Alligator mississippiensis: one gene and its partners. The protein of the gene in region 1 purifies or fractionates together with the protein of each later gene. This does not show direct contact. Links are inferred from orthologs where the notes say so. Each region holds a gene or a part of one and is shown in the gene's direction. Other genes may lie near its edges.

Evidence for each region.
Region 2: the proteins of FAF2 (region 1) and DERL1 purify together in Homo sapiens (affinity purification with western blotting; 4 studies listed by BioGRID and IntAct, with this or other methods). This does not show direct contact. The link is inferred for Alligator mississippiensis from reciprocal best matches to the Homo sapiens genes FAF2 and DERL1.
Region 3: the proteins of FAF2 (region 1) and UBAC2 purify together in Homo sapiens (affinity purification with western blotting; 7 studies listed by BioGRID and IntAct, with this or other methods). This does not show direct contact. The link is inferred for Alligator mississippiensis from reciprocal best matches to the Homo sapiens genes FAF2 and UBAC2.

What each region holds. Positions count from the first base shown.
Region 1 is NC_081832.1:79,160,388-79,168,274, forward strand, and holds the start of FAF2 (FAS-associated factor 2), read left to right. Parts: upstream 1-4,876; 5' UTR 4,877-4,970; coding exon 4,971-5,033; intron 5,034-7,887. Other genes in the region: CLTB (clathrin light chain B), read right to left, coding at 2,628-2,799, 3,196-3,249, 3,534-3,645, 3,757-3,892, 4,198-4,244, 4,373-4,514. UniProt on the Homo sapiens protein: Plays an important role in endoplasmic reticulum-associated degradation (ERAD) that mediates ubiquitin-dependent degradation of misfolded endoplasmic reticulum proteins.
Region 2 is NC_081826.1:20,780,941-20,788,326, forward strand, and holds the start of DERL1 (derlin-1), read left to right. Parts: upstream 1-4,383; 5' UTR 4,384-4,498; coding exon 4,499-4,651; intron 4,652-7,386. Other genes in the region: TBC1D31 (TBC1 domain family member 31), read right to left, coding at 66-212, 2,474-2,550. UniProt on the Homo sapiens protein: Functional component of endoplasmic reticulum-associated degradation (ERAD) for misfolded lumenal proteins. Forms homotetramers which encircle a large channel traversing the endoplasmic reticulum (ER) membrane.
Region 3 is NC_081824.1:364,831,557-364,838,889, reverse strand, and holds the start of UBAC2 (ubiquitin-associated domain-containing protein 2), read left to right. Parts: upstream 1-4,330; 5' UTR 4,331-4,475; coding exon 4,476-4,527; intron 4,528-7,333. UniProt on the Homo sapiens protein: Restricts trafficking of FAF2 from the endoplasmic reticulum to lipid droplets.

The sequences.
Region 1 (7,887 bases):
AGGAAGGCCTTCTCATTAATAAACTAGGTGACTGTGGCGTTGATGCCTACAGTCAGATGGGTCGCTAACTGGCTGGAGGGCCGCACCCAGAGAGCGGTCGTGGACGGGTCATTTTCAACCTGGAGGGCTGTGGGCAGTGGGGTCCCCCAGGGCTCGGTCCTCGGACCCGCACTGTTCAACATCTTCATCAGCGACTTGGACAAGGGGCTGAAAAGCACCTTGTTCAAATTCGCAGATGACACTAAGATGTGGGGGGAGGTGGGCACGCTAGAAGGGAGGGACAGGCTGCAATCAGACCGGGACAGGTTACAGGGGTGGGCGGATGAGAACAGGATGGGTTCAACACTGACAAGTGCAGGGTGCTGCACCTGGGGAGGAAGAATCAGCAGCAGACCTACAGGCTGGGGAACTCCCTTCTCGTCAGTGCAGAGACAGAAAGGGATCTTGGAATCATTATTGACTCCAAGATGAACATGGGCCGACGGCATGGGGACATGGTCAGGAAGGCCTTGTTGGCATCCACAGATGCGTCACGAGCAAGTCCAATGTGATCCTCCCCCTCTGTGCGGTACTGGTCAGGCCGCAGTTGGAGTACTGCGTCCAGTTCTGGGCACCGCACTTCAGGAGGGATGTGGACAGAATGGAGAGGGTCTAGAGTGCCACCCGCATGACAAGGGGGCAGGCCCCAGGAGGAGAGGCAACAGGACCTGAACCTGTTCAGCCTCCACAAGAGAAGGCTGAGAGGGGATCTAGTGGCCATCTATAAATAGACAAAGGCAGACCAGCAGGCAATGGGGGAGTCCCTGCTCCCCTGAGCACTACCTGGAGTAACAAGGAATAACAGCCATAAGTTGATGGAGGGTAGACTCAGACTAGACATCAGGAGGCGCTACTTCACAGTCAGGGCAGCTAGGATCTGGAACCAACTTCCAAGGGAAGTGGTGCTGGCTCCTACCCTGGGGGTCTTTAAAAGGAGGCTAGATAGTCACCTTGCCGGGGTCATTTGACCCCAGCATCCTTTTTTGCCCGTGGCAGGGGGTCGGACTTGATGATCTGCTCAGGTCCCTTCCGACCCGACCAACTATGAAACCAGCTCCCCCGCCCCACTCCCACCCTTTCCTTTACCCGGCTCCCGGCCTCCACTTGCCAGCAAGCCTGTGGGCTCCCAGCACAGCAGCTGCTTCCGAGTTGCCCCTCCAGCCTGAACGAGGAATGAGTGAGGAAGGAAAGGGCAGCACCTCCTGGGTTTGGAGCTGTCAGTTTATTTGTAACAAGTGGCTTGGACAAGGTCACAGATACCAAAGCTGGGGACACACAGAACAGCCACAGGCACAGCCCTCCCCAGAGCCAGGTGTCCCTTCTCTCCCAGGTGACAGCAGCAGTCAGGGCCGGCTGGGGAAGCCTGGGGGCTCCTTCTCTCTGCGGGGCGCAAGCAACAGCCTCCCTGGGGCTTCCCAGAACAGAGTGAAGGGGGCTCTGCCAGCAGCTGCAAGAGTGAGGTAGGCCCCACTCTCTGGCCCCTGGAGCAGCAAAGGGGCAGGCAGAGCTGCCTAGGCAGAGCTGTGGGCTGCCATCCCCTCCTCCCCGCACCAGCTCAGCCCCAGCTGTGCAAAGTAGCACACTCCTGTCCTGCCCTGCTGGGCAGCTCCACACCCAGCCAGCAGCCTCCTGCACCCCAGAGCCAATGCCCTGCAGAGCTGGCCTGGGTGGGGCTGGAGAGGGTCTCCTAAGGCAAGGCTCAGCCCATGTGCTGTGGACTTTGCCCCGAGTTCCCTGCCAGCTGTACCCAGCCCTCCCCACCCACCAGGTCCTTGCAGACAGGTGGCTGAGCACATGCCCAAGAGGTGATATGGTGTCTACGCAGCCCAGCAGGGAGCAGATCTCAGGCTCCTGGACCAGGCCTCAGCACAGGCTGGGATCCCAGGGCTGGGGGCTGAGCCACAAGGGGTTGGGTCAGACCTACCCAGCACAGAGCCAGCACCTGCCTCTGCTACCAGCAAGGAGCTTGGGCAGGGGGCCAAAGCCTTGCTGGGAAGAGTCAGCCACCCAAGCTCAGCATCCCCTCACAGCAGCAGTCATCAAGGCAGCTCCATTCAGCCTGGAGCCAGGGGGCGGGAAGCTCTTAGTGAGACCCAGAGGACAGGCTCCCTGGGGGAGGCTCCTCCCTTGCCCTGCTCAGCATCTCCAGCCCCCACACACCACCCCAGGCCAGGCCAGGCCAGGACCTCCTGCCCACCCAAGCCCCTGCCCCAGCCCTGCACATCCCAATTCCTCACGCGCTGAGCCGCAAGCAGACGGTGATGTCACACTCCTACCTCCAACATCACAGCCAGCCTGGGCCCAGGCACCAGCTGGGGAGGGGGTACCTGCAACAGGGGCCTGGCAGGGAGGAGCCCCAGCCCAGCCACCCCACCCACCACCGAGGGAACCACCACGGTAATAAATAAGTGTAAAAAGACCAACGCACCCTTTAAGCAAAGGAAAACCAGGGGGACAGCGACAGCCACCCGCCCGCAGGAGGTGCTCGCGGCGGGGGCAGCACCCCTGCTGGCCACCACGGGCCCCACATGCTGCGCGCATCCAGGCAAGCTGGTGGGGGGCCGTGCCCCTGCGGCGCTCCGGCTGGGCTAGCGCGCCAGGGGCGTCTGTTTGAGGGAGATGAGCACCGAGCGCATGCGGGAGACGTCCTTGTTCTGCTTGCTGCTCTTGGGGTTGAAGTCGCAGAGCTGCGCCACCTTCTCCCACTCCGTGCCCGGGTCCTCCTCCCTCGACTCCTTCAGGAAGGCTTCCTCCGAGGCCCTGTGGGGAAAGGGGGTCAGCCACTGTCTGCCCACTGCCCGCAATGCCCCCGTTTCCCCATGCCCCCCATCCCTCGGGCACAGGGGCTCTGCAGTCTGGTTAAGAACAGGCTCCTGGCAGGTGCACAAGCCCAGGGCTCCTCTGCCACCCCAGAGACCCCCCCCAGGGGGGTGGGCTCATAATGCAACCCCCATGCAGCCGCCACTTCACCCCCTTCCTCCACACCTTGCAGCTCCACTCGCTTCTGGGGACTTCACTGTGGGAGGTGCTGGATGGACACCCCCACCAGACCCCAACAGCCCTGCAGACCCCCACACCAGGCAGAGGGAAATCCCCAACCGGAAGGACAGAGAAACAGAAAGAGAGAGGGAGAGAGCGAGAGAGAGGGGCACGTACACATAGCCAATCACATCGGCGTCCGGCTGCTGGTAAAAGGCTTTGTCAGCAATCCTAGCCCAGGAGCAGCAGACAGAGAAGTAGCAGAGTGACAGGCAGGCAGGTTAGACAGACAGAGAGGGCAGGTGTTAGTGCCCGCGCACCGCCGGCAGGAGCACGCCCCGCTCCACCAAGCAGAGACCCCGGCTACGCCCGGCCCCTGCGTGGCAGGCAGTGGGGTCGGGCTGACGCAGGACCCGGGCCCCCAGGACGAGGCCTCGCACGGGGAGAGATGCCCCTATTTCTAAGCACGGCTCCTCCCTGCTCCAGGAAGGTCCCCACCTCCCCCCCGGCCACACCTGTTGTTAACCCGGTTCTTCTCCATCTGCTCAACCTGCCGCAGGTTCCACTCCTCCAGGTCCTTCTTGGCCCTCTCGCGCCACTCCTGCTCCAGCACCTTGGAGGCAGCGTCTGTGGCCGGGGCAGAAGTCGGTCACGGCGGCGCGGGCGGCTCCGCCCCAGGGGGAGGTGGGGGCGCAGGCTGGCTCCCGCACCCTGCGCGCGCCCCTTCCCCGTGCTCACCCAGCTCCTGCAGCCGCTGCTTTTGCTCCTCCCTCCACTTGCGGAGGCTCTCGGGCTCCTGGGTCAGCCGGTCCGCCTTGGCGATGGCGGCGTAGGCGTCCGTGGGGCCGTTGGACTCCTGCGGGACACAGCCCCCCTGCCCCGCTGAGTGAGCACAGCCCCCCGGGGCAGCGGGCTCTGCTCGCTCTCCCTCCCCCAGCACCACAAGCAGGGGGCTGCTCGCCTGTGCCCCCCCCGCGGCAGCCCACACAACCCAGGTGCCCACGAGGGGCTTGGTGACATCACACCCCTGTGATGTCACAGCCGCCCCCCGCCCGTGGGGGTGCCGGCACCCCGAGGATGACACGGCGGGCGCGGGGCGGGGGCGGGGGCGGGCGCGTGAGTCAGGGCAGGGCGAGGCGAGGCTGGAGCCGCTCCCGCCCGGCTCAGCCCGGCTCGTACCTGGAAGAGGTCTCCGTTGAGCGCGGTCGCCCCGTCCGGCGCCCCGGCTGCACGCGAGGGAGGGAAGAGGCGGCGGGTCACGGCGGGCAGGGCGCCCCCCCCGGCCCCGGCCCCGGGCCCGGCCCCCTCCCGCGGGCAGCCCCCGCCGTGCCCCGGCCCCAAGCGCGCCGCCCACCGTCCTCGTGCAGCGGCTCCGGGCTGCTCCCGGGCCCGGGGTCGCCCTCGATGCCCGCGATCTCGCTCTCCTGCTGCGCCAGGAAGGCGGCGGCGGGGTCCTCCTCGGCCGCGCCCGCGAACAGCCCGAACTCCTCGGCCATGTCTGCGCCGGGCGGGGCGGGGCCGGGACGCGCGCTGGCGTCACCGGCGTGACGTCATGGGCGGGGCCGGGGGCGACGTCACGGCGCGGGACTGCGGCACGCGCGCACCAGCCCTGCCAACGGCTGCCTGAAGCCTTCGGCCGCTTCCGGAAACCTCCCAGCGGCTTCGGGTGTACTGTCACGTGACCGTGGATAGCTCGGGTGTTTCCGGAAACCTCCCAGAGACTTCGGGCGGGCGGTCACGTGGACCGCTCGGGTGTTTCCGGAACCCTCCCAGCAGCTTCGGGCGGGTGGTCACGTGGAGCGCTTCGGAAAGCCCCGAGCAACGACGCCGAGGGGAGCGGAGGAACGCCCTCCCGCGACCCGTCCGCCGTGGGGGGGGGGGTCAAAGAGGACCGGAAGTGTAGCGTCACTTCCCGAGAGTGACGGAGCGGCGGGTCAAGAGGCGGTAGCAAAATGGCTGCGCCGGCGGAGCGGGAGCTGACGGCGGAGCAGACCGAGAAGCTGCTGCAGTTCCAGGTGCCGCGGCCGCGCCGCTCTCGGGGCCCGGGCGGGGGAGGAGCAGGAAGGCCCCGCCCCCCAGGGTCTGTAGCGCCGGGATTGGCCGCTGGTTACCGGGGCAACGCGGCCCTGGGCTGGGGCCTTCCCCCCATGACTGGGCCGCGCTCCCCGCGCGCACGTGCCCGGCCCGGCCCGGCCCGGCCCACAGCGCCTCCTCTGCCGCCGCCGGCTGCCGCGTGGGGTTGGCCCGCTCGGAGCGCGGCCGGCAGCGACTCCGGCGCGGGCCGAGGCAGCGTCAGGCCGCCCTGCGCAATCCAGTCACGGGCCGGGAGGGGGAGGGGAGCGGAGCTCGGGAGTCGCGTCTAGCGCAGCCCCGCTCCACGCAGGACCGGCCCGGCCCGGCCAGGGCTTTGTCTACCCGCCGTTTCACCACCTCCGAGGGTGGAGACCGCACCACCGCTCTGGGGAGCCTGCTCCAGTGCTTCGCCCTCCTGGAGACTGTGCTGTCCTCATATCCACTCTCAACTTCCCTCGCTGCAGCTGGAGCCCATCGCTCCTTGTCCAGCATCTGCCCCACTGAGACCAGCCCAGCTCCATCCTCTTTGCAGCCCCCCGGCAGGGAGGTGAAGCTGCTATTCAGCCCCCCTCAGTCTTCCCTTCTGCAGACTCAGTCAGCCCATTTCCCTGAACCGCTCCTCACCAGTCCTGTCCCCAGCCCACAACCATTGTCAATGCCCTCCACTGGACTCTCTCCAACGTGTCCACATCCTTTCTGCAGCGGGGGCCCGCAGGTGGACACAGGACTGCAGGTAACCTAACCGGGGCGCAGCATAGGCAGCCCGCCCGAACCTGGTGCAGGTATGGCAGGGGACCCGTAGTAGCCACCGTCCCGTTTCCATGAAACGTTTACGGATTCGCAGAAGGTTAGGGCTGGAAGAGACCTCGTGAGATGACGCAGTCAGTACATGCTCAAGCGATCCCAGGGAAGGGCCCCCCCCGGCTACTGAGGAAGCTAAAACCCCCGTCGTCCGTGCCTGTCTGACCATGGGGTAAAATTTGCAACGTGATGCGTATCAGAAGACCAGAGACATCAAACGGGAACCCAGAGTGTCAAGAATACATGTATTAATATTGGAGCCAATCTTCTGTTGCAAATGAATCAAGAGATCAGAAATATATTTGTGCCCCGTTGTGTATTTTGCGACAGGAGATTGGCTCTGGTGTTTGTCTGTGTTCAGAAGATGAATGAAAAGCAAGAGCTGGCAACTTCCACGCAGGGCCTCAGATCTAAGGATGAGTGCGTCAGAGCGAGCGAGGGGTGAAGGTTGAGAACCACTGATCTAAATTAAGGGCTTTGAGTGGATCAAAAGACCTAACATTTCACCCAGTAACCCAAGCAGATAACTTGTGGTTGGTTGAGCTGTTTGTTAATCTCCGCTGTGCTCAGCGTGACAGCATGTAACTACTATGAATCGTGGTCCTTGGGCCTCCAGTCATGAGTTGAAGATCCCGGGTGATATATCAAGGTGATATTCCAGTTGTGATCAGACTACCGATGTTTTCAGTCTAATCCTCCTGAGTCTCCAGACGGGTTCAGCACATCTGCAGCTGCTGCTTGGCAGCGGGGTGACCGTCGAGGCGGTGCTGGGTTGGAGCCGTTGTTCAGACCCACGTTGCAGCAGTAAAGCTAAAGTGTGGGATGGGGCTTTGACAGACCAGGGTGTATTTCCCACTCTGACAGACCTCAAATGCCATTCAGTATTTATGGCCGTTCTGTATGCATACTGTTTTGCAGAGCCAGGAACATTTAAAGCAATGGAGCTAATGCTTCTAGACCTCAGAGATGGTCCTTCCTTCTACTGCACCCTTTCCTGTTTCTCAGTTACTCTGTCCCAACACATAGTGGTCAGTAGGTGTTTGAAGCTTAACTGCTGCTACTAATTATTTGCTTTTCTGTGTCACTAACTGCTGATGAACTTGATGCTTTACGCATCTTCATTACATTTCAAAATCCCCTTGTAGGCTAAGTAAATACAATTATGTGCATTTTATTTAGGGGAAACCCAGGAAAGGAGAGAGGGACTTACCTAAGGTCATGCAAGAAATGTGATCATTCTGATTGTAAGGTGTGTGTGGCAGAGGGTTTCTTTTACTTCAGATCATCCCATAGCAGCCACAGTGGAGTTCTGGTGCATGCTAGCGATTTCTGACTTTTGCTGCAACACAAAAAGGCAATAGTCATCATAAAACATGCATGTGTCAGGGTGGAGAATAAACCTCAACTGTTGCACACACAGTCCTGGACTTAACCCACAAGAAATCCTCCTCCTCATCCTCACTGTCAGCTTGAGTACAATGGAGGCAGTTTGCCCTGTGATGTGCACTATGGAAATAAGTAGACAGAGATGGTGGTCTCTCCAGAGAGAACACTGAATTTCTCTTGAAAGGTATTGGGCCCAGCTTGTGCAGTTCTCAGAGACCACAGGGATTTCTTCCTCTGAGCAGTTTTTCAGGCAGTTTTTAATTGGAAATTATTAACCTGCCATTAAGGCTGAAAGACTATCATGAGGACTGTGACAGATGGTGAGTAAACTGAACAAGAGGTAATTAAAGTGTTGCTGCTCAGTAATGAGCTGAAATATCTCAACTCTGGTTGTTTTCAGAATTCATAGATTTCATAGACATTAGGGCTGGAAGGGACCTTGGAAGATCATCAAGTCCAGCCCCTGCCCAAAGGGCAGGAAGTCAGCTGGGGTCATAGGATCCCAGCTGATTCCTATAGCTTCGGGTGGTTTGGGTTAACTGCATAGTTGTGTACTGCCCATTGTCTTGGCAGTGCTGTCTTGGAGTTGCCCTGCTCATAAACATTTGA
Region 2 (7,386 bases), on another chromosome or scaffold:
AAAGGTAGAATAATCAAAGAATAACACATAATAGCCATATATTAATAAGAAAAAATAATGCTTACCTGTTTCCACTCAAGTCAAAAACATAGATATTCCCTTGATGGTCTCCAGCAAGTAATGAGTCACCAGAATTGTCAAAGGCCACACTGAGAAAACGTATGGTCTTGGAGTGGTATCCTGTGGCACTATGAATAATGTTAGCTAGGACTCTGTGGGGAAAGCAAACAAATCACCCTGTTTGGGACAGTGTCTTTATCAAGCTTTTCCATATATGAGTAAAATGCTTCTAATATTAATGCGTCCAGGTATCTATGGGTTATTCCAGGTGATTAATGCTCTGGGGTGTTAAACACATGCCCACAAGATGGATCTGGCCCCCAGGGACACTCCATCTGGCTCCCTGTGCTATGGGTGGTCCAGGGTATTTGGGAGATGTGGCTAGTGAGGGGCAGAGCCTACTGCTGAATTCAGGGCCCTTGGCAGCAGGGGAGTGAGGGAGGGCCATGGCCTCCACTGCCCTGTTTGTTCTGCAGTTATTCGGCCCAATGCTGCTTGCACAGCCTCCACCACTGCTGGCCCGCAGCCCCCAGATCCAGCCCACTGAGGAGCCCCATGGTCCAGATGCAGCCTAGGTGAGTTTGACAACCCTGCTATAACTATTGCTCCCTTCAATCTTCTCGCTGGAAGTAAAGTATCCCAGTCCCTCAGGTCTGGGACTGTCTTCTTTTCCTCACACATCACAGCATCTGACAAAGCAGGCTGTCACCTACAGAAGCACCTCTCTTTCTGAACCAGTTAGTCTCCAAAGTGCCACCTGCCCTGCCTTCCACCTGACTTGAGCCTAACATGGCTAACTATCTCCTTCCCAGTGCATCAGAAATGGAATGAATGACAAAGGAGGTAACTTACTAAAGATGACCCCCCCCCGGGAGACGTGGTGGAATCTCCACTGTCAGTGTTTTTGAAGAGCAGATACAACAATGCTTGGCTGGGGGAGTCTGGCAGAAGGCAGAGTAGATGTACACCTTATAGACTAACCAACGTAGCTATCAGGGGCAGATCCAAGGGGTGGGGGGATGGGGATGCAGTTACACCCCACTTTGATTCTTGCTCCACCCCAAATTTAAAAGCAACTGCTTGGCAGTGGCAGCAGCATTTCTAGTCAGACAGCGTTGAGGGGGTCAACTGACTTCATGGCTCATTGTCATCTACCCGATTCCTTCCAAACTCTTCATTCAACAGGTGTTAACGACCCTCGCTTCTTTTTAAAGGTCTTGATGTTGCACCAATCAAGTCAGCCTTTGTTCTGCCATGCTGCTTTCTGTTTGCTGCTCCTGGGAAGGAAGCTCCTATTTCACAGCCCTGCAAATTGTTTTTAACTCATTCCAAAACAGGATATTTGCTTTTGCTTCAGTCTTCAGCTGCATAACACAGCCCTAGGCCCCTAGTATATTAGCAACGCTTTCTAGTTACATATGCAAAAGCAATCAGGGCTTATGGTAGAGGTGATATCTTTTATTATTAGACCAATTATTGTTGCTCTAAAAACAGATATCACCTCTACCATGAGCCCTGATTGTTTTTTCCTCTAGACTAATACAGCTACAACCTGGATACCAGTTATACATACACACACTCCCTGCTCCCAGCTTTCTTTATACCATTTATACACACACGCGCGCGCGCACATATATGTAGCATAAGCTTTCGGAAGCTGAAAATCACTTCATCAGATGCTGTGAAAGGACATGCAACAAGCTTGACAGGGCTGCTCCTGCCTGGCTGTGGCCCTGCTAGGAGTCCACCATAAAACACCCCAGGCAGGAATCACCCGTCCCCCAACAACCACCACACAAAGTACCTCAGCCCTGAGTGCAATGACGGTCCCTTGCACACAATTGCTTGCAATTGTGCTGCCCTATTTGAGTGGCCACATGGCTCAGTCAGCCCCTAGCTAAGGCAGGGTCTCAGTCTCATTGCCTCAGCCAAACTGGCTTCCCTGCAGCTCCAGGCACTTCTGGGCAGGCCGTGTCCAAGTGCCTCCATCCTGCCTCCAAAGCGTGCGCAGAGACACCTGCGGCAGGTGCAGACCGGCACAGAGACAGGGCTAGACCTGCATGAGGGGACCCGCTAGGGGGCAAAACCAGACAAGGGCCCTGCACCACGGCCCATACTAATGAGCAGCAACAGCCCCCACCTGAGGCACTGAGGCTCCAAACCCACCAGGCCCTGCCGCTCCAGGGCAGCACGAAGGCCAGGACCCTGGGTGCGCATTGCTGGCAGCTCCTCCTCTGGCAATACCCCGCCCCCACCTGTCTCCAGACCCCGCCCCTCCCGACCTGTCCCCAGGCCCCGCCCCCGCCCTCCCCAACTTGTCCTCTGGCCCCTCGCTCCCCCGACCTGTCCCCAGGCCCCCCCGCCCCATCGGTCCCCAGGCCCCACCCCCACCCTTCTCTCCCCCGGCAGTTACCCTTTCCGCGCGGCGGGGCACGGCTTGCGGTGCCAGATCTTGCCGCGCTGCCGGCTGCCCAGGTCGGCGCTCTCCATCCCGACGCACGCTCCACCCGGCTCCGCCCGCGCCAACCGCCGCTTCTCCCGCCGGCCGCCGGGGCGGGGACAGAAGACTGGGGAGGGGGGAGTCCGCCTCATGGGCTCGCCCGCTTGCAGTTGGCACACGTCAGGCGCCCACGGGCAGGGTAGCGTGTTCCCCCCTCTCCTCGGAGCGGTAATGGAATGGGCCACCCGCCCGGAAGCCGCGGCGCCTGTCGGGAGTTGTAGTTTGCAGCGCATCGGAAACTATAACTCCCGATAGGCACCGCGCCTCCCGGAGTGGGAGGAGCAGATGGAGGAGCCGCTTTTCGCGGTGTTGCATGCGCTCCAGTAACCTTGTGCCTGGGCGCGCGCGTTCCACCCCTCCCCCCGCTCGCCCGGGTCCGGCTGCAGAGGTGGGGGAGGACCGTGGTGCGTGTCCTGCGGGCTGCTTACAGGGCCACGGGCTGATGTTGTGTTGTATAAAGAAAGGGAAACCTCTTCACTCCTCTTGAGTGTGTCTGGGTCAACAGGGGCGCCAGATGTTTCGTTGGAGCAACCTGTAGTGGGGCCGTATCGGTTAGAGCCCAGCTCCATCCCAGCCACGTGGCTGGACCCACACGAGACTTCGCCCTAACATATCCCTCGCCTCTCTAACCCTTTCTGCTTACATCACTCTCCGACTCCCCTCTCCGTGCTGGCCTCCTCAACACACCTGTCCTTGCTCTGCTCGTCACTTCTGAGCTGCTTGGTGCGCGGGTTTCTTTCTGCTTCTGCTTTCGCTGTCTTCAGGGTGATGATTACCCATCCTGCCGGGTGAGCTCCCACGGGCTGGGATACCAGGGCTGCACCTGCATCTGGGGAACTTGTAATTCCAAAAGGTCGAGGAGAGCCGCCACAGTCTCCTGACTAGGACCAGGTTCCTCCCAGGTGACACGGCCCACGGTCTGCCAGGAGTCCTCAACATCCAGATTTTCAGTCAGGCCGCTGCGACCGTTGAGGCGCCTTAGAAGCTGTAACAACCTCCTAGGGTCCTTGCGCTGCTGTGCACCATCGGCGAGTCTTTAGGCAGTGATCTGGCAGCGCCCATCTCTCCAGGTCTGGGTGTCTGCTGGCTCGCAGGGAGCTCATCTGCCCTTTGACAGGTCTTGTTTTCAGTCCTGCTGGGTGTCCACACACCCTCCTCACCCAGCCTAGCACACGTGTGGGCGCCGATTTACTCATGGACAACCTGGCCCAGGAACAGGCTGTACTGGGTTACACCGTACCAGACAGCATACCCAGAGAGGCTTGGCCTGATGGGTATACTTATCTATACCTATCTCTATATACCTATCTATGTCTATAGCTAACTATCTTTATATGATATCTATACCTATTTCTCTCTCTCTCTTTGTCTATGTATCTATATATCTATCACTAGCTATATATGATATCTATATCTATCTATATCTCTATATATATCTATTTCTATCGCTATCTATCTATCTATCTATCTATCTATCTATCTATCTATCTATCTATCTATCTATCTATCTATCTATCTATCTATCTATTATGTCTGTATCTCTCTCTCTTGCTATCTCTATACATGTCTCTATCTACCTATCTCTACCTCTACATGTCTGTATCTACCTATCTCTCTATATATGTGTCTCTCTGTATCTGTAGCTAACTATATCGATATATGATGTCTATATCTTTCCTCTCCGTGTCTTCCCGGGTGTGCTGATTTCTAGAACACGAAATCTCAGCCCTTTCGGGAAGCCCTCGCGGGTGGTGGAGGTGTGAAGCGGGGGTGCGGCCCCTTTAAGAGGCGGGACTTCCGGTATCTTGTCGCAGCGCGGAGGGGCGGAGCTGGAAGCGGCTGCGGCTCGGCCGAACTCGGAGGAGCCACGTCGGGCGGAGCCAGACCGCCCCTAGCGCCAGCGCCTCCCCCGCGGCGGAGCAGCGACTAGGCCCGGCCATGTCGGACCTGGGGGACTGGTTCCGGAGCATCCCGCTCATCACCCGCTACTGGTTCGCCGGCTCCATCGCGCTGCCGCTCGTGGGCAAGCTGGGCCTTATCAGCCCCGTGTACCTCTTCCTCTGGCCCGACGCCTTCCTCGGCCGCTTCCAGGTAGGGCCCGCACTACATCTCCCGGCATGCCGCGCGGCCTTGGCGCGCTCGGCGGCTCGGCGCCGCCGCGCGGAGCCTGCTGGGGGCTGTAGTCCGGCGCGTGGTGGACGCTGGGGCGCCGCTCCTTGGCGCTGGGCTGCTTGTAGGGCGGCGGGCGCTGTGCCCTGCTCTGCTCCCCGACCCCCGCTGTCTCGTGCTGAGCCTTTGCGCCCCGTTTCAGCAGTCCTTGTCCCGAGCGCTCAGCAGCGCAGAACTAGTGCCCCTGTATTAAAGGGGGCTTATAGCTTCCGTGGCAGACCTGGCCCAGGAGATCCCTCCCCATGTTAAAAGGGGCAGGAGCAGACGCTGACGGGGAGAGCGAGCACCCTCTGACCGGGGCTTTTCCGGGCTTTTCCTGGCGTGCCTGTCTCTTGCGGCCTCCCACGTTTAAGGTTTAGGAAGTTCATCTTCTGATGCCATCTCCCTCGTCCCCCTGCTTGGTAGGTCCTCATGCCCCTTTCCTGCAAGCACTTGCCCACTCCCTGTTTGAGCCCAGCTGCACTGTCAACGCCCACAGCATCTGGTGACAGTGAGCTTCGCGCTTGAATGACATGCGCTGCGTGAAAAAACTTCCTGTGCTCAGCTTAATGCCTGCTACAGACTCGTTTCATTTCGTGAAACGAGTAGGTAGCAAGTTGCACTTGGTGACCCTTAGCTCTCGTACTGAGAGAGGGAGGAAATCATATATCCCTGTTGACTTTCTCTGCGCCATGTCGGATTTTGTAGACCTGTATGTCCCCCCTCAAGCATTTCTTTTTTTTTTTTCTAAATAAGTCTAGCCTCTTTAGTGTCCTCATATGGAAGCTCCTCCATACCACTAACTGTCCTTGTTGCTCGGCAGTTGTACCTAGGGTGAGGTCAGACTTGAGACGTCCATGGAGAGACCAGGCTTCCCCCCCCCATAAAGTGCTTTTCATAAGAGAGAAACGCAGTGCACTAAGTAGGAAGTTAATTCCCTTGCCAAGCGGATGCTGCATCCCAGAGAGCAGTGTTCAGACAACTCTTTGGGTCTGCGAGGCAACGTGTCAGCTCGGCAGTCTCGAAGATGTGTCTGATCCCTCTCTCTGCACTTGCACATTTATGCATTAGAGCAGGTACTTCATTATAATTTCCCTATACCTACTGGCTTAAAACTCTATCTGGACACTCCCAGGTATGCCTCATATGTGCCTGTACAAGGTGGGGCTTGTTGCATGTTCCTTTCCAGAACGAGGATGACAAGATTTAGTTTAGCCCTAATCATCGCAAACTTTTAGCCAGACCTGGTGAGCTAGAACAGAATTAGAAAAGCTGAGTTTTATCAATTTTGGTAGAGGTTTTTGGCTGTAGCTGTGTTGGTCTGTAACAACATAGGCAGGCCAGGTTCTTTGGGTAGATGTGAAAGCTTTTATTAGACCAACTGAGTAGCTGGAACAAAGTTCTTTGCAACTTGATAGGGTCTTGATATGTTTGTACTGTCTGTCTCTTTCCATATATTGATGTAAAACAGTTACTATTTTAAGAGTTGAAGTTTTATGCTTAGAACTGCTGACAATGAGCTCAGCCTCTGCTAACTGTTGTGATGGAGGAGGGTAGAGAGGCATTACAAGATGCTGACTGCAGCTTTTCAGCCTATAGTAGGTTTGGGACAGATGTGGGAGGACTCTGGGTAGGGCTAGCAGAGTTCATCTTCTGCTCCCTCTTGGTTGGCTTGTTGCCTTTTTGTCTGGAGTTTTGGGAAGGGTGCGTGGTGGGGGAGTCAAGGTGTTTAAATCATGGTCTGGTAGGAGCCCAGTGACCAACATCCCTAAGTTCTTGGAGCATGAGTTGCTGGCATGAGACTATCCAGGGTGCTCATTAAATTTCTGGGTGAGGGATGGATGATGGAAGGCCTCTCTTGCAGCACAAAACAATTCGTTCATTCTCTGTGCCTAAACACGGGCAATAAGAAACCATGTTGCCCTTCCCATCTAAAACAGTTGGGAAGGAAAGAAAAGATCCCCATCCTGTAAGGCTATCAGGGCTGCCCAGCTTCGGGGGGGGCTGGAGCTGCATGCCACATCAGTTCTGAGCCTGGGGCTGCACACCATGTAGGCTGCATGGCAAAGGGGTTGCCATGTCCTGTGGACTCCTGGACCCCTGCTGTGTGTGTAGAGCCAAGCCTCCCCCCCCCTTCTGTTCTCTGCACCTACATCGATGAGCTCCCAGCCTTACCTTGGTTGTTGCCACATGGGCAGTGCAAGCCCACCCTGCCACGCAAGCCCCAGGAGTGGCAGCTGGGCAGGAGCCTGCAGGCCACCAGTTGGACAGCCCTGCTTTATGTCATTACGAGCCTTCAAGCTGTCTTCCTTTTCCACATACTGACCCAAAGTAGTTATGACCTGAAGAGTTGGAGTCACATGCTTATTTGTGCTAGTCCCTCCTGAACTATGAAGCTTGAGGTCCAACCCTGTCATTCTGAATTTGTCTAGGCTGGGGCATCTGAAGCAGTGGCTCTCAACCTCATTGCACTCAAGGCACCTCTCTAACGTCAGAGTTCAACAGCACCCCATTTCAAACACTTACATGCACATTGTGAATGTTATGTTATAAACAGAATTATATTGTCAATGAATTTAATGAATGATACTGATGTATTATACCATAATATCAAATATAATACAAATGTAATATTCCCACTTCATGCTGCCAGCAAGAAGTGCTTTCCCAGCCGTGCC
Region 3 (7,333 bases), on another chromosome or scaffold:
AATGAGTTTTATGTGCCTCCAGAATGTAGTGTATCTGCAGCTAAAAGGTTCTCAACCTCTTCAGGATTAAAATGCCCCACCACCACTTTTTTGAATGTGGTGGCACTCCTGGCTGAGAACCACTAGTGGTGCTGCCTCAGCTTACCTCAGTGCTTCCCAGCCAGGTCCTGCTGCTGGGAAGGGCTCTGAAATGGAAGGGCTCCACACTGCAAAGCCAGCCCATGAAGGGCTGTGCTACGTGTGTGGTTCTCTCACACTAGTGCTCTGATCAGTCTAAAGCAGACAGGAGCTGCCTCATGCTGTGCAGTTCTTTATGGTCCAGCACCCCCAATGCTGCTCCTGAAAGCAGAAGCAGACAGAACTGTTACAGCCAGGACTGGTTCTCCTGCCTGTTTTAGGCTGATTAAGGAGCCCTAGTGCAGGGGTAGTGAGGCAGTTTTACCTGGCCACTGTTAGTGCAGCACTTCTGAGGGGCCTTGCAACACCCTGGTTGAGAACCACTGCTTTAGAAAAATGATATAAATATAAGATTTAAAAAAATCTGAGAAGTGGGAAATAGTCAGGATGCATATCCTAGAGAGAGAGAGAGAGTTAGCTATGCTGGTCTGAAGTTAGGCAGAAGGGCAGGACAGGGTGGTATCTTAGGGTGCTGTTACAGGTTACCTTTAAAACATTTTAAATCTGTTGAAGGTTGCTGTCATAAATTACAACAGTTTCAGAGCAGTCACAGGTTAAGGCTTAATGCTGTCTCAGACCTGCACAACTGGGAGGCCTAGGAGGCACCCTCAGCAAGTTTGTAGATGATGCCAAGTTGGGGGGTGTAGTAGATGCACTGGAGGATTGGGCTAGGATTCAGAGTGACCTAGACAGATTGAAGGATTGGGTCAAAAGAAATCTTAGGAGGTTCAACAAGGACAAATGCAAAGTCCTGCACTTAGGATGGAACGATCCCATGTACCGCTACAGCCTGGGGACTGACTGACTAAGTAGCAGCTCTGCAGAGAAGGACATGGGAGTTACAGTGGACAATAAGATGGATGTGAGTCAGCAGTGTGCCTTTGTTGCCAAGAAGGCTAACTGCATAGTGGGCTGCATTAGTAGGAGTGTTGCCAGCAGATCAAGGGAAGTAATTATTCTGCACTGGAAGGCCACATCTGGAGTACAGTGTCCAGTTTTGGGCCCCTCACTATAGAAAGAATATGGTCAAGTTGGAGAGAGCTCAGTGGAGAGCAGTGAAAATGGTTTGGGTGCTGGGGCACATGATTTATGAGGAGAGGCTGAGGGAACTGCGTTTATTTAGTCTGCAGAAGAGAAGACTAAGCTAGGATTTGACAGCAGCCTTTAAGTACCTGTAGGGGGGCTTGAAAGAGGATGGAGCTGGACTGTTCTCTATGGTGACAGATCACAGAACAAGGAACAATGGTCTCAAGTTGCAGCAAGGGAGGTTTAAGTTGGATATTAGGAAAAACTTTCTCACTACGAGGGTGGTGAATCACTGGAACAAGGTCCCCAGAGAGGTGGTGGAATCTCCATCCTTGGAAGTTTTTAAGACCTGGCTGGACAAAGCCTTGGCTGGAATGATCTAGTTGGGGATGGTCCTGCTTTGAGCAGGGAGTTGGACTAGATGACCCCCTGAGGTCCCTTCCAACCGTAATTTTCTGTGATTTTATTAAACTGCCATTAGAGGGCCTGGTGAGCAGGCATGTGGACAAGAGCCAGGCCTTTATCCCTTCTTTGGGGTGGGAGAGTAGTGGGGAGGGTGGCATTGCACAATTACTTGAAGACCGCTACTTATGCAGAGTAGCTCTCACACACAATAAAAAGCTCCAACCAGCTATGAAGTTAGACCTTAAAAAAGTATGCTAACTTTAGAGCTGGTTGCTATTGAGCTTTAATGTGCACATATAGCAAGGTCTCCCCTGCGACTGGGAACCCAATAGCTGATAGGGTTTCCAGCTGCAGGGGTGCACCATGTTCTGCATAAAACCTCAAAGCTGAAGGGGCGTGGGCAGCCACTATCCCTAAGGGCTTATGGGTGTGGGAAACCCCCAGATCCTGGGGATCATGGTGATCGTTTGACCCTTGGGGTGGGGGAATCTCCACTGTAATTATCCTACAGCCCCAGGGGTGCCCCTGTGGCTGGGAGCCCTTCAGCTGGAGTATGTGGGGCTTCTAGCTGCTGGAGTTTGCCAGTTCAGGGGCAGCTCAGGATTGAGCACGCCCTGCACCAGCAATAAGGTGCAACAGTATCTAATGCATGATCCCACTATTGCCCCTCCTGCCACGCGTATGTGGCATCGCAGGAGGTGCGATTGTATGAATTGCATGTTAGATCCCATCACACCTTTAGCTTTGTGTAGAGGGGGCCTCAGAGGCAGAGAAACCACCATGTAGTTTCCCTTACTCTGTAGCCAGCAGGAGCCAGTTAGAACCACAGGTGGGAGGGGAGTCTTTTAAAAAAAAACCAACTGTTTGAAGTGATTTGGTACAGGGGAGAAGTAAAGAGAAAGAAATGGAAAAAAGAATATAAAAAAGGACCAGAACCTTGTATGTGTTTCACTGAATTGGTATTGGCTTTGAAGGAATTGGGTTAGTTATTATATCAGGACACACCTGAGACCCATCAGGCTTGTTGCATGCCACACTGGGGTAGGAGCTGGGCTTAGTATGCACTCACAACAGGGCAGAGCCCAGGCCAGAGACTCAATGGGCTTGCTACATGTGCCTCACCAGGGCGAAATCGTGACCCAGCAAGCTTGCTGCATGCAGGCTGCACTAAGGCAATGCGCTCATAGACCACCTGGTGCTGCTTGTTGCCCTTTGAGCCCTTGGCAGTGGTGGTGAGTATTTTCAACTTGCCCTAGATGATGATGAGGTCCAGCACCTCAGCACGGGTCCAGTTTGCAGCTTGCTGGGTGGTTTCCATTCTTTGGCTCATTCTTTTCACAGAGGTAGGCAGTAGGATTCCTGTTGCTGTTTGCATGGGAGTCCTAGAGCTAGTAGCAAACTAGGGAGCTGCATTGGGTGCTCACAGTAGTCAGGGTGTGCTGGAGTCGCACCTCCTGGAGGGGAAAGGGATGTTGACTTGTGGCCAGCACCACCCCGTTAACAGATTTTTAATAGGGGTGGGGAGGTGAAAAATTGAAATAGACTCTTGTGTCATTCCAACCAATGTGAGAAGCTTATTGATTAATTGACAAAGCAAGATTAGCTGAAAAAAAGCATAATCTTACAGGATGGGTCTTGACTGCCGCAAAGTGAAGCTGGCCAGGCTCATGTTCTGCACAGCAGGGGGTCCTCCAGATGAACAGTCCCGCAGATGAACAGTCCAGCAGGTGTCATGTAGAAGTTCCCAAGTTTCTTCCCAGCCTATGCTTACTATTTATAGATAGCTGGTAAACATTCTAGTATAATAAAGGGCTTCCTCTGCCTGTCTGTTTGTCTGTCTGTCTGTCCGTAACACTGTTGGTCAGCTGTGCATGCGCTGCCGTCGATTGGTTGCATGGACCCAGGTGGGGAGGAGGCAGAGGGCAGATGCGGGGACACATGCATCTGACAGCTGGCAGGGAGAGCGGGATGGCGGGGGAAGTGTGGCTGCTCGGTGGAAGAAGCAGAGGCAGGCTCACATGCACCCAACAGCTGGCAGGGAGAGGGAGGTGGTAGGTTCAGAGGGGAGTAGGGAGGGGAGGGGAGGCCGGGGGAAGCCCTTCTGCTCAGGGGAGGAGGTGGAGGTGGGTGGGGAGGGAGCCTCCACACTAGTGGCTAGAGGAGGAGGTGACAGCGGTGCAGGGAGTGTTTATATGGCTGGCCCCGAAGGGTGAGCAGGGAGGCGGGGGGTGGCCTCCCTGCCATTATTTTAAATCTGTCATTCATGATGGGTAATTGGCTAGTAATCTTAATATTCTAACTAATGATCCCTGATTGGGTTTGTTGAAATTACTGAAACTTTCAGAGCTGAATTAACCCAGATCTCTTGTGGACTTCTATGCTAGTCTGTTACCTCTGTACTTCAGTTTGAGAAAGCAGGCTCTGCCCAAGAATAGTGGCAAGCCTGATCTTTTTCCCCCCCGGAGCCGCCTGCCTGAGCTGCGGGAGGCCTGGTGCTTACCTCTGCGGCTGTGGTGACTGACCCCTAGGGCCACCCGAGCCAGGTGCGTGCCTGCGGGCAGGTGCTTCCTGGGGGAGCTACAGCTGCTGCAGAGGGAAGCACCCTGGCTGGGGCCTGGGGCCAGGGAGGGCGGGTTAAACAACCCTTACCCCACTCAAACTTACTGTTGGCTGCAACTGTGGACTATAAATTACAGAGGCACCTGGAAGCAGGAAGAGGACGTGATGAGCAACCCTGCAGAGTCCTGCTGTTGTAATTCTGGGCTGCAAATCCCAGAGACCTTGGCGGCAGCAGGAAGAGGAAGTGAACACACAGCTAGAGAGCTGTGCTCTAGTGCCCCCTGTCTTCTGCCTGAGACACTGTAGGCATGTGGTTGCATTTTCTGAATCAAAGGAAAATAGGATCGATAGGCTTGCAAGGTGAGTGGATGAAAACCTGATGGCATTCAATATAGAGAAATGCAAGGTGCTTCACCTCGGTGGGGGGGGGGGGGGACCTGCATCATACTTATAGGCTCAGCAATGCTATCCTCACTAGCACCACAGCCAAAAGACACTTGGGGGTCATGATTGACCGCAAGATGAACATGAGCCACCAATGCGATACCACAGCTGGCAAAGCAAACAAAACTCTGGCTTGCATCTACCGATGCTTCTCAAGCAAGACCCAGGATGTCATCCTCCTGCTGTACTTGGCCTTGGTGAGGCCGCAGCTGGAGTACTGCATCCAATTCTGGGCTCCACAATTCAGGAAGGATGTGGAGAAGCATATTTATAGATGTAGGGTCGGAGGGGACCTGAGCAGATCATCTAGTCCGACCCCCTTCCCTGGGCAGGAATGAATTACTGGGCTCATATGACCCCTACTAAGTTTAAGCTCAAATGACCCCAGCTAGGTAGTTATCAAGCCTCCTTTTAAAGACCCCTAAGGTAGGAGCCAGCACCACTTCCCTTGGAAGCTGATTCTAGATCCTGGCTGCCCTGGCTATGAAGTATTGCCTCCTGATTTGTATCCTGAACCTATTCTTAATCAACTTGTGGCCATTATTCTTTGTTACTCCGGGAGGTGCTCGGGAGAACAGGGTCTCGCCCATTCCCCTCTGGTCCCAGACCCCGGTAAGTTTATAGGCGGCCACTAGATCCCCTCTCAGCCTTGTCTTGTGAAGAATGAACAGGTTCAGGTCCCTTAACCTCTCCTTGTAAGGCCTGCCCTGCTGCCCCCTGATCATGCTGGCCCTCCTTTGGGCCCTCTCAATGCTGGCCTCATCCCTCCTGAAGTGCGGCACCCAGAACTGGACACACTACTCCAACTGTGGCCTGACCAGTGTCGCATAGAGGGGGAGGATCCTGGACCTGCTCATGATGCATCTGTGGATACATGACAAGGTGCGATTAGCCTTGCTGACCGCGTCCTCACATTGGCGGCCCACGTTCATTTTGGAATTGGTAATGACTCCAAATCTCTTTCAGCCACTGTGCTTTCAAGAAGGGAGTTCCCCAGCCTATAGGTATGCTGCTGGTTCTTCCTGCCCAAGTGCAATACCCTGCACTTGTCAGTATTGAATCCCATCCTATTCTCATTTGCCCACCCCTGTAACCTTGCCTGAGAGGCTTGAAAGAGTCCAGAGGAGAGCCACGCGCATGATCAGAGGGCAAGAGAACAGGCCTTACGAGGAGAGGCTGTGAGCTATGGGACTCTTCAGCCTGGAGAAGCACAGGCTCAGGAGTGACTTGGTGGCAGTCTATAAGTACATAAGGGATGTGCATCAGGATCTGGGGAACACCTTTTTACCAGAGCATCCCAGGGTATGACAAGGTCCAATAGTCACAAACTCCTGCAAGACCGTTTTAGGCTGGACATAAGAAAAAACTTCTTTACTGTCCAAGCCCCCAAGGCCTGGAACAGACTCCCCACAGAGGTGCTGCAAGCACCTACTCTGGGCACTTTTAAGAAACATTTGGACGCTTATCTTGTTGGGATCTTTTGACCCTAGCTGACTTCCTGCCCCATGGGCAGGAGGCTGGACCCAGTGATCTTACGAGGTCCCTTCCAGCCCTAATGTCTATGAAATCTGTGAAAATGTCTGCTTACTTCTGTTTCTGTTTAATCTGTGCAGTTTAGGCTAACCTGCAAAGACTGAATTGATTCGGCTTTGGGTTTTCTGACTGTATCTAGCCATAATGTGCTTTGTCATTGTTCTGGTTGAGAGGCTGAATCAAATGATTTTTAGGTCTCTGAAGCATTGGTTGACTTTGAACTTGTAGGGCTGGACTTGATGTCCTGAGAGGCTATTTTTAGCCCTGTTTTCCTGTGTACAAATCAGTTCAAAGTTGCCAGATGGAAACAGTGTTTGAGCGTCTTCCTAAAAACTTCCTCTGGATTGTCCCCTGGTTTTACCCCAGAGTCAACTCTGTAGTTTAGGGTTATGCATGTTAACAGGCTGATGAAGATTCCCATAGCAATAACAGAGCATTTCACTCCTTTCCTCTCATAACATACAAAATTGTAATGTTGTTTGCTTACAGACCTAGATACTTATACATAGAATTACATTTAAAAAAGTCTTAGAATTGATGCCTAGTTTAATTATTACTTTGTATCTGAATCTCGAGCTGAAAGGTGCTTCTTGGGCCATCAGATCTGGTTCCCTGCCTTTGCTAGCAGCATTTGTAAATTTAAGGGATCCACAAAAAATACCCATTCCACAAGCTCTCTTGAACACCACAGCCATGAGGGAAAAAAAAAAAAAAAAAAGAAAAGAATATAAGAACATAACTCTAACTTGGCAAAGATAAAGAGCAGATAGAGAATAATGTTACTGATATGTGCTGTCTGTCTTCATGATGCCAGGACATTTGAACATGTTATATGTTCTGTATATACAACCTAGGGAATTATGCTATTATGCGCCCATGCACTTTGCGCATAAAAGGTATTACCGTGCATAACTGCATAATTTAACTACAGTGGGCTCTGTGCCTTTACCTCCATGATATGGAGGTACAGAGCCATGTGGCTGGACATCTGGGTAACTGGGGAGGGGAGCCTGCAGGGGGTGGGGTGGGTATGGAGTTTGTGGCTGGCTGTGGGTGGGTGTGTGGGGTTTGTGGGTGGGTCAGTGGGCCGAGCCAGCTGGCTCAGTGCCTGCATGTGGGGCTTCCAGCACTCTAGCAGGAAGCCGCATGTAGAGGCACAGAGCCTGCCCAGCTTGATGGTGTGTGACTC